Linked DNA regions of Callithrix jacchus. The protein of the gene in region 1 purifies or fractionates together with the protein of each later gene. This does not show direct contact. Links are inferred from orthologs where the notes say so. Each region holds a gene or a part of one and is shown on either strand. Other genes may lie near its edges.

What was found. Proteins that work in one complex are often made in the same cells at the same time.
Region 2: the proteins of ATP6V1A (region 1) and ATP5F1C fractionate together in Homo sapiens (co-fractionation; 3 studies listed by BioGRID). This does not show direct contact. The link is inferred for Callithrix jacchus from reciprocal best matches to the Homo sapiens genes ATP6V1A and ATP5F1C.
Region 3: the proteins of ATP6V1A (region 1) and ATP6V1F fractionate together in Homo sapiens (co-fractionation; 3 studies listed by BioGRID and IntAct, with this or other methods). This does not show direct contact. The link is inferred for Callithrix jacchus from reciprocal best matches to the Homo sapiens genes ATP6V1A and ATP6V1F.

What each region holds. Positions count from the first base shown.
Region 1 is NC_133516.1:103,480,498-103,484,726, forward strand, and holds the start of ATP6V1A (V-type proton ATPase catalytic subunit A), read right to left. Parts: upstream 2,801-4,229; 5' UTR 2,502-2,800; exon of another isoform or gene 2,386-2,501; intron 2,061-2,385; exon of another isoform or gene 1,966-2,060; intron 1-1,965. Other genes in the region: NAA50 (N-alpha-acetyltransferase 50), read left to right, coding at 3,163-3,170. UniProt on the Homo sapiens protein: Catalytic subunit of the V1 complex of vacuolar(H+)-ATPase (V-ATPase), a multisubunit enzyme composed of a peripheral complex (V1) that hydrolyzes ATP and a membrane integral complex (V0) that translocates protons.
Region 2 is NC_133508.1:6,148,765-6,152,893, forward strand, and holds the start of ATP5F1C (ATP synthase F(1) complex subunit gamma, mitochondrial), read right to left. Parts: upstream 2,801-4,129; 5' UTR 2,769-2,800; coding exon of another isoform or gene 2,713-2,768; intron 1-2,712. Other genes in the region: KIN (DNA/RNA-binding protein KIN17), read left to right, coding at 3,036-3,149.
Region 3 is NC_133512.1:118,317,782-118,321,901, reverse strand, and holds the start of ATP6V1F (V-type proton ATPase subunit F), read left to right. Parts: upstream 1-1,320; 5' UTR 1,321-1,402; coding exon 1,403-1,560; intron 1,561-4,120. UniProt on the Homo sapiens protein: Subunit of the V1 complex of vacuolar(H+)-ATPase (V-ATPase), a multisubunit enzyme composed of a peripheral complex (V1) that hydrolyzes ATP and a membrane integral complex (V0) that translocates protons.

The DNA of each region.
Region 1 (4,229 bases):
TATTTTCCCCTCTAGTAGTCAATGGCTTCTAACTGATTTTCTCTTTCCCATTTTGGTATCAGCCAGACAGGACTAGTTAGGACTTCCAGGGCACTTAAGAAATTCTCCTTTTGTGGTGCAATGTCACCTGGTCAATGAAGTAACACTTCCTTTTTTCCCTCTCTCCTCTAGAAATCAAGGAAATCTTATTATGGAGAAAATTAACGGCTAAAACTATAAATATATATACACAGACACACATACACACATACATATACATGCACACACACACAAATATATCAAAAGCAGGCATGGTGACATACATGTATTAATATAGTAGTCTATTGTCCAGTATGGATCCTAAGTACAAAATACTAAAACGGTAAATCCACAAGAGATAATAGTAATCCTCTTCACTACTTGGGGAAAGCAACATCTTCATCTCCTTGTTTCCTAGCAAGGAGCATCAATAAGCCAGGTTGTGCATTTTGAACTTACTATAAAAGTACTTTGTTAAATTGCTACTATTCTAGAATATTAACTTTTTGTTCTCCTTAACAAAATAAGGCCAGTTTATTGTATAGCATTTGGAAGACACAGAAAAACAAAAATAAATCAGCCACATCCACCACTCAAAGGTGATTCCATCTTCCTCATTTTTCAGCAGTCTTCTTTAATTATCTTAGAAAACTACAAGATTTAACTGAACATACTATTTTTCATATTAAGGTGTAATTTAAATTTTAAATACAAAATTTGTAATATTTGTAACAGTGAAAAGAAGCATGGAACCTTCTGAGTTTGCAGTACAAATAAAAAGAGTTTAACCACAAACCGAAAAACATTCTTCCCTAAAGCCCGTGGCTTGGGGTCAAAACACTGGTAATACATTACAGACAGAATGGGAGTACTCAGGTTGGACAACACCTGGGCAAAACAACTGTATTTTCACAAAATACTATTCATCAAAATTTGAAGAGGACACCGGGAGTTTTACAATTGGGAAAATTTAGGAGGGATACAAATTCTACTTCACCTAAATTTACTATAAAGCGGGTCGAGGAATATTCTGGGAGTGGCAATTTAGTAATATCTTAGGGGACAAGGACAAAAAGGGAAAGATTAAAGGCAGAAAATATGTGCAGACAGCAACATCTCGACTTGATTCTACCTTTAAGCATACGGCCAAATGAATCCGGTTTAACAGTATTTCCAACCCAGTCAGTTTCTTACTTCGGTTTCAAGGAACCCTACTCACTTTTCCCTAAACTAGCCCGGGCCCCCCGCACACCACGACACCACAATACCATCTTTCAACGCCTCCTCATTCAATCGAGACTGTCGCATTACTAACACCCCCTGTTTTGGAGACAGTGTTCCTTCAACTGTCCTCTCCCTCAGAGAAGGAAAAGTAGAAGCCCTTCTTTCACCCTTCCAGTCCCATCTGAAGCACGTGAACATCTGCGGAACCTTCCCTGCAGGGATGTCAGATAAAACCCTTAGAATGACTGAGGAAGCACATTCGGAGGGAAGCTTCACAGCGACTCCGCAGTCAGGGCCGTATCTGACAGTCCCTCCCAAGCCCGTCTCACCGGAGACGCCTCTGCCTGCAGGGTTTTTGCCTCCTCCCCGCTCCTCAGCCCTGAGCTGAGGGTAAGGACGCTGAGGATCTCTGCCAAAGAATGGGCGTTAAGGAACAGGACCTAGTGTCTACTGCAGACCCTGTGGAACGGCTGAAATAATCTGCTACCCGAAGCCCCAAAGGCTCTGACTACAGAATCATCATGGCCGCACTCACTCCCAACCCTGGGAAAGGTGGACATCTCAATCCCCAAGTAGCGGGGCCGACCACACTTGGGGAAGGGGGAGTCAGGGGAAATGAGCTCCTTGCCCCTGCAGGGTGACAGCGGGGAAGAAGCCTCAGGCAGGGAGGTCGCCGTTCACACTCTCCCTCCTCTCTGCTCTGCCTTCTTCTACCCCTTTTACCTGTTCTGCCCCCACCACTCGCCAGTCACCGGCCGCCGCTCACCTGCTGGGGCGCGAGGTGCAGAGACGGTACCGAGCGAGGACCCAGAGGCTCTGTCACCACGGGCGGGGAAGTCCTCAGCTGCAGAGGAGGGGGGCGGGTCCAACAGTCATGTGACGTCCAGCTCCGCCCTGACTTCCCTCATCCCATCTCGCTACAACTTGGGGGCCCGTATTTTCACAGATTCCTTGAATATTAATCTCCTTAGATTAAAGAAATAAAGATGAATTTTCACAAGGACCGTGTTGTAAAGTACAACGTGGAAGACGCGGACAGCAAGGGCTAAAGCGCACTGCTAAGGAAGTGACGTTCACGCCGCTATCGAGGGACAGGAAATGGCGGCGGGGTTCCTTCCCTCCGGAAGCCGCCTGTAAAATTCCAGGCTCTGAGGTTGGGGTCCATCACGTGAGCTCAAAACTGGAAGCGTGCTGGAGAGTAACCGAGCGATCGGGCCCATCGCTAACTACGTCTAATTGTTTTAAGACACCTAACTTACCTGAGCTTTCCGCAGATTTATTTACATTTATTAGAACCAGCCTTACAAAACCCTAGTGGAAGGCAAGAGCGTTTGAAGGTCACTCTGGAGACCACACACCGGGAAGAAGGGGTCCGAGAAAGACCGATCGTGCGGATACGAGGCAGGAGAGGAAGGGGTGGAAAAATCTGGGTTTTACCGCCAGGGCCTACCGAGCCAGCCACACAAGTAGTGTAATAGGTGGGAGGGAGGAGAAGGACGCCGGAAGCTACAGTCCGGGAGAAAGATGGAGGCTCCGGGGTGGAGGGGGCAGGGTGCGCGGGGGCGAGCAGTGCGGCTGCGCGTGAGGCGGCGGACGCGCCGGCGCGCAGAGGGGCGGGGTGAAAGGTCACCGCGCGGCGGCTGGTCTGGCTGGCGGTAGCGGCGGGAGGGAGCTGAGACCCGAGCGCACGTGTGGGGAAGCGGCGGGACCTGCGCGGCGGAGGGAGACAGCCCCGCCCCCACCGGAGATTTAGGCCCTCGCTCGACTCTCGCGGCCTTCGGCGCTAGCTCAGCTCCTTGCCCCGGCCAGGAGGCCGGCTTGCGGGGTGGAGTGGTCCGAGCTGAGGGCGCGGAGACCGGAGGGCGGCGACGACGGCGGCGTTGATATCGGTGGTAACGACGGCCTCAGCAGGCGGGGAAGATGAAAGGGTGAGAAGGGCAGTTGGGCAGGGCTCGGCCGGCGGGGTAGAGGGGCCCGGGCGGGTGTCGCGGGGGAGAGCCGCGGAGGAGCGGAGTCTCGGGGCGAAGACCGGCGGAGGGAGATTTCTGGGCTTCTCAGTGCGGCCGCTCCCGGAGGGGGCGGAGGCGGGGCGCGGGCTGTTGGCGGGCTGAAGGGCCAGCGGAGCCCGGACCCCAGGGTCCCGGGGTTTCGGTCCGGAGATGAGTGCGGGCTGAGTGAGTGGGGCAACAGGGAAAGGCTACGGTGCGGCGCCTGCGGCCCCCTCCCGGGGTTGGACCACCGAGCCGCCCGGGCCGCCGCTCCAGGTGGAGTCGTTCGGTTGGTTTCCGTCTCCAGCCTCAACTCTGCAGCGGCGGTGTTTGGTTCACGCTCGGGAGCGGAGCCGAACCTTGCGGAGGAAGAGGAGGTTGGAATAGAGCGCAGAGCGCGGGGACGAGTATTAACAGCTAGTGACTCAACTAGATTTGGGTTGGGTCACAGCGGGGGGGGGCACGATCACGGTGGACTTGGGGAGCCAATATCTTCCAGGAAGTACCGCGTGGATCGGTAGGTGGCGCTATTGCTTTAGCAGCTCACCGTTGCCCCGAGTGCCGAGGGCTTCCTGGGTACTTTACCACGCTGCTCCCTTCAGGTGATCGGCAGACTAAATGTTCGCTCTTTCACCGTTTGCCTCTTGGATAAAATCAGGAATTATTTTCTATCGACTGCTTAAATTTTATTTTATTTTTTTCTTGAGATAGAGTCTCTGTCGCCAGGCGCCAGGCTGGAGTGCAGTGGCACAGTCTCGGCTCACCGCAACCTCCGCCTCCTGGGTTCAGGCAATTCTCCTGCCTCAGCCTCCTGAGTAGCTGGGATTACAGGCATGCGCCACCGTGCCCAGCTAATTTTTGTATTTTTAGTAGAGACGGGGTTTCACCATGTTGACCAGGATGGTCTCGATCTCTTGACCTCGTGATCCGCCCGCCTCGGCCTCCCAAAGTGCTGGGATTACAGGCTGGAGCCACCGCACCCGGCCTCGACTGTTTAAA
Region 2 (4,129 bases), on another chromosome or scaffold:
ACACTTCTCCAACCCACACCCATGACTGCATACTCTCCTCCTCTTTTGGCAAGTCCAAGCAATCTTCTGACATTGTATCTGATGTAGAAACTTAAAAACACTTCATTTTTCTACTGATAGACAGCGTTTGGTTCTCCCACAGTCCTACATGCTTTGCAGATACTCTCATCCTCACCCCAACCCACTGAATCGTGTACTTTTATTGCATGTATTTGATAGATGAGGAACTGGCGGGACAGGCACTAAGTAACCCAGGCAAGGTCACAGAGCTGCTAAGTGGCAATCAGAATTCAATCCCTGCTGTCTGAATGGAGCCCTTCAGGGCTGGCCACAGAGTCTCTGTATACAGTACTACACTCTGCTGCCTCACATTTTTTACATTTACTAGTAAATCTGTCCTCCTGCTCTCAGATGACAATCTGTCTTTTCTGTCCTGAAATGCCATCTCCTTTTGAGTGTACATAGTTTACGACTACTGACACGTTATTATAAAACAGTTCCCTTTTAGAGACTTTTGAACACTAAGAAGTAGAAATGCGTTTTTCCCAGACATGAAGACAATAAAATCTGGGGCTCTTTCTCTTGAATTTTTTATTTCCGTTTTCTTAAATGCTACTTTATGAAAAAACTTAATTTTCAAAAAGTTAGGGTATTTTGGCGATACCCTAGCAACTGTTAAAACAACCACTGTGATCATAACTTACTTAATAGTAAGCCTAAAGATTAGTTTATGTTAGTATGATAACCTCTCTGAAAGCAAAAACTAAAACAGTAACAAACTAGTTTTAAAAACTTCCAGTAATCAAAACGGAACTGTGGAAATATGCCTCCTCATGGTTTGGTTAAGGCAAAGGTATTTTTTCCCCCTTCCAAATTAGTTCTGTGGAGTGGTTTTAATTTTTGAATTCGAAAGGTTAATTAAATTAGTGGGAAGAAAAATAACAGAAGGGGCGGGAGAGACATTAAGCACCAAGAGTGACGGAATGCATGAAAAGGAAGAGGACAGACTATATTTTTAAAGCGGAACACTGCCGACTGATGATTTAAAAGCAATATTCCAACGGGATTAAGGCCAGGACTAGGACCTTTATATGCTGACTGAGGTTCGGATTTAAGCTCCAAACAGTGGTTGTCTCCAACAGAGCGCTCTTATTTAAAATGATCCTTTACTAAAAGAGCTTCAAATGATCCTACAGATTTTTTTAAAAAGGTATTTCTAAAATATTTTGTAAAATATTCTGTCTTAGTTTCAGAAACTCTTTCCATTTTTTTAAAGATCAACTTAGAAACCAAGGTTCTAAAAATACTGACAGGTAACATGAATGCCTGGCAAGAGGGTAAGGACAGGAGGGCTGATGTTTGCAGAGCACTACTGCGTGACAGGTGCTGTCCCAGGAAGCTCACTGAGACCTCGTCTATTTGTTCACTATCACATTTTGGCACTTCCCACAGTACCACCGGGCGCAGTGCAGGCACTCAGGTCAGTTAACAAGTGGGACAGTCTATACAACAGATAATTCAACTATAGTGACCTTTTAATTCCCATGAATGTTCTTTTTCCATATTAGAGAGAAAAAAAAAGATCTTACTTCCAAGACCAAGCCACCAAAATTTTTATGTGGCTAATTCACATCAGATTTCATTCTGAAAATCTCCTATATCACTATCAGTTATCTGCCTAATGAAAAATGTATTTATTTCAACTAATGCTTTATGGACCCTTCACATAAATTAAGATACAAAAATCTAGTTTAGCACTGTAGCGCCTTAGAAATCCTCCATGCTGTTAACAGCAGGGAATTGCTAGGACACAGCCTATATTCCTCTTGGCAGTGTGTCTGAAATGCTTCCAGATTCTGTCAAGCTTCAAAACTGAACAGCACCACCCACAAACCAACTTTTTCCTGCCGGCTTCCAGGCTTTCTAATAGGCATTTCCCCCAACCCAGGTCGCCCCACCCGGAACTACTGTTTAAAATTCTCGAGACGCGTGGCACCCTTTGGCTGCATGGCACTTAACAAACGCCACTTAAAGCCCACCGAACTCCTTCGCCTAAAACCTTCGGGCAATTTCATGACCTTGCAGGGTTACGGTTTCAGCAAGTGGTTTCAAGGCGGTGCTAGGTGTCCTTCCCTTCCCCGCCATCAGACAGATCTGTAGGGTCCCTTCTGCAGCTAGACCACCCTCAGGGGCATCGAGGATGCTCGCCTTCGCTGTTCTAGCACCCAGCAAAGCGCCCGCGACACGGGAGGTGCTCGACGGCCACGCTCTGTGACTAGATCGGATCTTAAAGGGTCAGTCTGCCCAGCGCTGAAGGGTTTCGAAGGGCGTCAAGGACAGAGCACAACTTAACCTTCCACTGGGTGGTCTCTCTTGCAGGCCCCGAGAATGGGGGCCTGGCTCGCAGTGGAAGCTCAGGAAGTACTGATTAGCTGAGGGAACCCGAGGCCGCAGTCCGGAGGTCCCAGGTGGCTCTCCGGCCTCAGGGGACGGGGCGGGACCTGGCTCGGCCGGAACCCGGCCCTGCGCACGCCTCGCCGGCTTCAAAGCCGCATCCTGCAGCCCCCGCTACCCCGCGCCTCCGAGGGGTCAGGGGCCCGCGCAGGCCCTACGACTCCAGATCGGCCCCCGGGCCCAACCCCCCTTCCCTGCCCCGTGCCCGAGCTCTTCCATCGCTTGCAGTCCTGGCGATCTTCCCGCAAGCTCTCATACCATTGCGGCTGCAAGGTCCAGGCCGACAGCCCAGAGACGCCCGCGCGAGAGAACATGGTAGCCGCAGCTCTGCTGAAGGTCGGTCACTGAGGCCTCAGCGCGCGTGCGCAGAAGCTTCCCAACACGCCCTTCCCACTTCGCTCTCTTCTTCAGTCTCATTTCCTCGCGCTACAGCGAAGAGAGTCTCGCGAGCGTTGTAATGCGAGAGTCCCACCTCCTTCCGCCTCACAGCAGGGATTTGTCCCGCCCACTGCCGCCAGCCCAGTTCCATTTCCGGCTGGCTGGGCTCTGGGGTCTAGAAAGTGATCGCTGCCGTGGTCGCCATGGGGAAGTCGGATTTTCTTACTCCCAAGGCGATCGCCAACAGGATCAAGTCCAAGGGGTTGCAGAAGCTGCGCTGGTATTGTCAGATGTGCCAGAAGCAGTGCCGAGACGAGGTGAGTGGGCCCGGGGTGGCCCGTCTTCCCAGGAGGGCCCCTGGGAGTCCAGGATCAGGTCCTGCATGCGGGGCCGAGGGCTGCCAGTAACAGTCATCAGCTCTAACTTGACTTGGCTCTTAAGAGAAACAGGGTGGTTAGGATTCACACCTCTTTTGGGATCAGGTGAAAAAGGAGCGCTAAGCTCTTTCGTACTACTCATCTAGCAAGCATTTATTGAGACCTACACTGTACCCGGCACAGAATAATACTGTGGTTAAGATTATGGATTTATCTGGTTTATAGATATATCAAACCGTCAAAATTTAAAGTTAAGCTGGGCCACTTGCCAGCCGTGTGTGGTCTTGGGCAAGTTACTTACTTATTCTCCTTTACTTATCTGTAAAGAGGGAATAATAATTCCACCTACTTGTAGGATTGTCGTTGAGTTTTAAATGAGTGCAGTGTATAAAGAGTGGCTCAAGGAGTCTGAGCAGATCTTGAAAAGCCTTGTATGCTGCTCAATGGAGTTTACACGTCTCCCCATTACAGAGGTGGTTGATGGAATGATCACATCCTAGTGATGTGATCGTATTTTCCTCCGGAGATTGGACTGGATTGGGTAAGGGTGGAAGAACACTGAGGCAGTTGGAATAATCTAATTTAGTGTTTCTACGAGTGAAGGAAGAGATATTTTAGGTGGGACTCACACTGACTAACATTGATAGTTATTCTCTTTAGTTCTCTCTATTAATGAATGTCTATATGTCCATTATCTAATGTCTTAGACTGCTTGGACTGCCATATAAAGTGCAGTAGACTGGGTGGTTTAAATGACAGAAATTGATTTCTCACAGTTCTGGATGTTGGGAAGTTCAAGATCAAGGTGCTAGCATGGTCAGATTCTAGTGAGGGCCTTCTTGGTTTGCAGAAAGCTGCCTCTCTATCCTCACAAAGCAAATAGAGCAAGCTCTAGTAGAGACTTCTCTTCCTCTTTTTTT
Region 3 (4,120 bases), on another chromosome or scaffold:
CTGCCCACCTCAGCCTCCCAAAGTGCTTTTTTTTTTTGAGACAGGATCTTGCTCTGCTGCTCAGGCTTAAGTGCAGTGCCCTGATCATAGTTCACTGTAACCTTGAACTCCTGGGTTCAAGTGAGCCACTCTACCTCAGCCTCTCAAGTAGCTAGAACTACAAGTGTGCAACCACCATGCCTGGCTAATTTTTTTTTTTTTTTTTTTTTTTTGAGACAGACTCTTGCTCTGTCACCCAGGCTGGAATGCAATGTCGCATTCTAGGCTCACTGCAACCTCCACCTCCTGTGTTCAAGCAATTCTCCTGCCTCAGCCTCCTGAGTAGCTGGGATTAGAGGCACCCGCAACTGCTTGTGGCTATTTTTTTTGTATTTTTAGTAGAGATGGGGTTTTGCCATGTTGGCCAGGGTAGTCTCAAACTCCTGACCTCAGGTGATCCACCTGCCTCAGCCTCCCAAAGTGCTGGGATTACAGGCATGAACCACCCAGCCTACCTGGCTAATTTTTAAAGTGTTTTGTAGACAGAGTCTCACTATGTTGCCCAGGCTGGTCTCCAACTCCTGAGCTCAAGTGATCCTCCCCCATCTCGGGAGCACTCCCAAAGTGCTGGGATTACAGGTGAGGCACCATGCCCGGCCTTACCAATTCTTTAACTTTCCCTGAAGGCCCTACGCTCTCTACTCAGTACGCCTTTGCATATACTGTTCCTTTGCCTAGAACACCCTCTTGTCCTCATTTCTATCCCCTTCATCCTGCAGGTCCTTCAGGTCTCAGCTTAGATGCGAAGCAAGTTTCTGGGGGAAGGGTTCTTTGGACGCCCCCTCTCTCCATGGGTTAGTTGCCATAGATGTGCGCTTCCATGTACTTCTTACATTCTAACAATTAACACACAGCTTTGTAATCGCCTGTTCCCTTGACTTTCCACCTCACTAGACAGTATCATCACTAACTTCTGCATTCCTTTAATTGAACAGATGTGTATGAGTTAACTATGTGTCATACATACATACACAATAAAGACCCAGACCCTGCCCCTGAGAATAATCCCAGGAAACAGTAACTGCGTCTCTGCTCTGGGGTCTCGGCGTTTAACAGTGCCTGGTTCAAAACGCTTGTTTAACGAATGAACCAAGGAAGAAGTGAATGAACGAATGAATTCCCGCGAAGGACGTCGTGCCGCGCGGCCTTCTGGGAACCGTAGTCCGCTGGTTCGGGCCTGTCTTTACGGCGCAGGCGCATTCACACTGAGGCCGTGTTGCTGTTAATGCGCATGTCCCGGGAGGCGGCTGGGAGAACTGCGCATGCTCGAAGGGTGGGGGTGAGGCCAACGGGGAGCCGCACGGCGGAGGCGGGGCTTCGGTGGCTTCTGGTGCTCGGGGGTGATCTCTGCCCGGCTGCAGGGATGGCGGGGAGGGGGAAGCTCATCGCAGTGATCGGAGACGAGGACACGGTGACTGGTTTCCTGCTGGGCGGCATAGGAGAGCTTAACAAGAACCGCCACCCCAATTTCCTGGTGGTGGAGAAGGATACAACCATCAATGAGATCGAAGACACTTTCCGGTACGGTAGCCCGCGAGGCCTGAATGGGCCCTTCTGCTGCCGGATGGAGTGCGGGGCGAGGGCGGAGGTGGCCGGGGGACCGAGGCGTGAGGCCGGGACGCGGGTAAGGGGACGGTCTTGGAAGTCCGCCCGCCCTTTCGGAGCGGAGGCCTCCGCGCCCCAAGTTCCCGTTTGGGACTCGGTGGGACTGAAGCTGTATCAAGTCCACGAGCTCCCGTCTCACATGATCGTGTGTCAGGAAAGAAGGGGAACAGAGCTCGTGACGGGCACCGCCCGTCAGCACAACCTGTCCCCCTCCATGGCTGAGCGTTCAGAGCGCCCAGTCCCCGGCGACTGCCAACCTGGACGCCTGTTCCCAAGTAGGGCTCGGCTCTTTTGCGAGTTGCCCCCCTAAAGGAACCGCATCCCCGATGAGCACCTAGGCAGTGGGTTCGGACTTTGTTCTGCTTTCCCCTCCTTTAGAGGCTTACCATCGACCTGGAAGGCAGGGGTGATTTTGTCCTGTTTACAGGTGAGAAAACTAAAGCTCGGAGAGGTTAAGGCACACACCAAAGTCACGAGTCGACAGAGGCAGAGCTGGAATTTGAACCCAATCCCAACCCTTTCTGCCTCTGGTAAGCCAGGTACACACTCTGCAGCTCTCCTCAGTCGGCCTCGGAATTTCTCTTTGGTCCTGAGCACAGTAGGCAGAAAATATCAGGACTGTGAGAGCCTTCTGCTAAAACTTGCACTCAATCCCTCACTCCCTGACTTAGGTCAGGCATGCCTAAGTGTCGTCGAAGGCATGCCTTTAATCCACCTGGTGGCCTGGTGTCTGGAATTGAGGATACCAGCCGCCTCCTATTCTTTCCCTCACCTCATCTCCAGGGCCCCTGACCCTAGCCACTCACCTGTTTCCCCCTAAACAGCCCAGCCCAGGGCTGCCGGCTGAGACTGGTTCTTGCTGCCTGGGGTATGGTAGCCCCTGACCTGGGAGGCTGTTATCTGCCGATCTCTAAGCTGTCTGGTAAAGTGACCCAAGTTGTCATGGGAGAAGGACAAATTTTACTTCAAGAATTTTCCATGTTTCCAACCAAAAGGGACCTCAGAGAACAAATCTAACCCAGTTACCAGCTGGGGGTGGGTGCTCAGTAAATAATTTTTAACTGGCAAATAAACAAATGAGGCTGGTTCGGTGGCTCACACTTGTAATCCCAGAACTTTTGGAGGCCGAAGTGGGTGGATCACTTGAGGTTGGGAGTTTGAGACCAGCCTGACCATTATGGTAAACCCCGTTTCTACTAAAAATACAAAAATTAGCCAGGCATGATGGTGAGTGTCTGTAATCCCAGCTACTCAGGAGACAGGCGGGAGAATCGCTTGAACCCGCGAGGTGGAGGTTGCAGTGAGTAGAGATTGTACCACTGCACTCGAGCCTGGGTGACAGAGGGAGACCTGCCTCAAAAAAATAAAATAAATGAATGAATGGGTGGGTGATCACAGGAGACAAGGATCACAAGGCTAGGTTCTTTTTTGTGGAGAAAGTGTGATTCCCTCATCACTGAGTGCCCTCTTCCTAGCTTGTGATCTTGGTTCATGCCAAACTTTCCCTCGGACTCCTTCACCACCCTCATCATCTAGATCTTGAGGCCTTCACTAGTCTCATCCGCCCTAGTTTTAAAAAATTTAGTTTTTTCCATGGCCTTATTTATTTAAAAAAAAAAGTTTGTTTAAAAGTTAATGTGTCTTCTCTTTATTGTTTTTTTATTTTGAGATGGAGTCTTGCACTGTCACCCAGGCTGGAGTGCAATGGCTCGATCTCGGCTTACTGCAACCTCTGCCTCCTGGGTTCACGTGATTCTCCTGTCTCAGCCTCCTGAGTAGTTGGGATTACAGGTGCATACCACCACACCTGGCTACTTTTTTTGTATTTTTAGAGAGATGGGGTTTCACTGTATTTGAAACCCCATTTGAAGTTTGGACAGACTGGTCTCAAACTTCTGACCTCCTGATCCGCCCGCCTTGGCCTCTGAAAGTGCTGGGATTACAGGCGTGAGCCACTGCACCCAGCCTAATGTGTCTCTTTTTTTTTTTTTTCCTGAGTCGGGATATCTCTCCTATCACCCAGGCTGGCGTGCAGTGGAGTGTTCACAGCTCACTGCAGCCTCAACTTCCCAGGCTGAAGTGATTCTCCCACCTCAGCCTCCCAAGTAGCTGGGGCTGTAGCCTCTCAAGTAGTTGGCATGTGCTGCCACATCCAGCCAATTTTTTTATTTTGTGTGCTTGTGTGTGTGTGTGTGTATATTTTTTGTAGAGACAGGGTCTCACTATGTGGCCCATTTCGATCTCAAATTCTTGGGTTTGAGCGATCCACCTGCCTCAGCCTCCCAAAGTGCTGGGATTACAGGTGTAAGCCATCGAACCCAGCCATCGGTATCTGCTCATAAAAAGGGATCTGCGTACATATAATCTTATCATCCCCCTTCCTGACACCGTCCCTGCATGTTGAATACACCGTTGTGCACCCTTATTAATCTTCATTACCAGCTCACTTGGCAGCCTTCTAGGCAGTGTTGTAGAA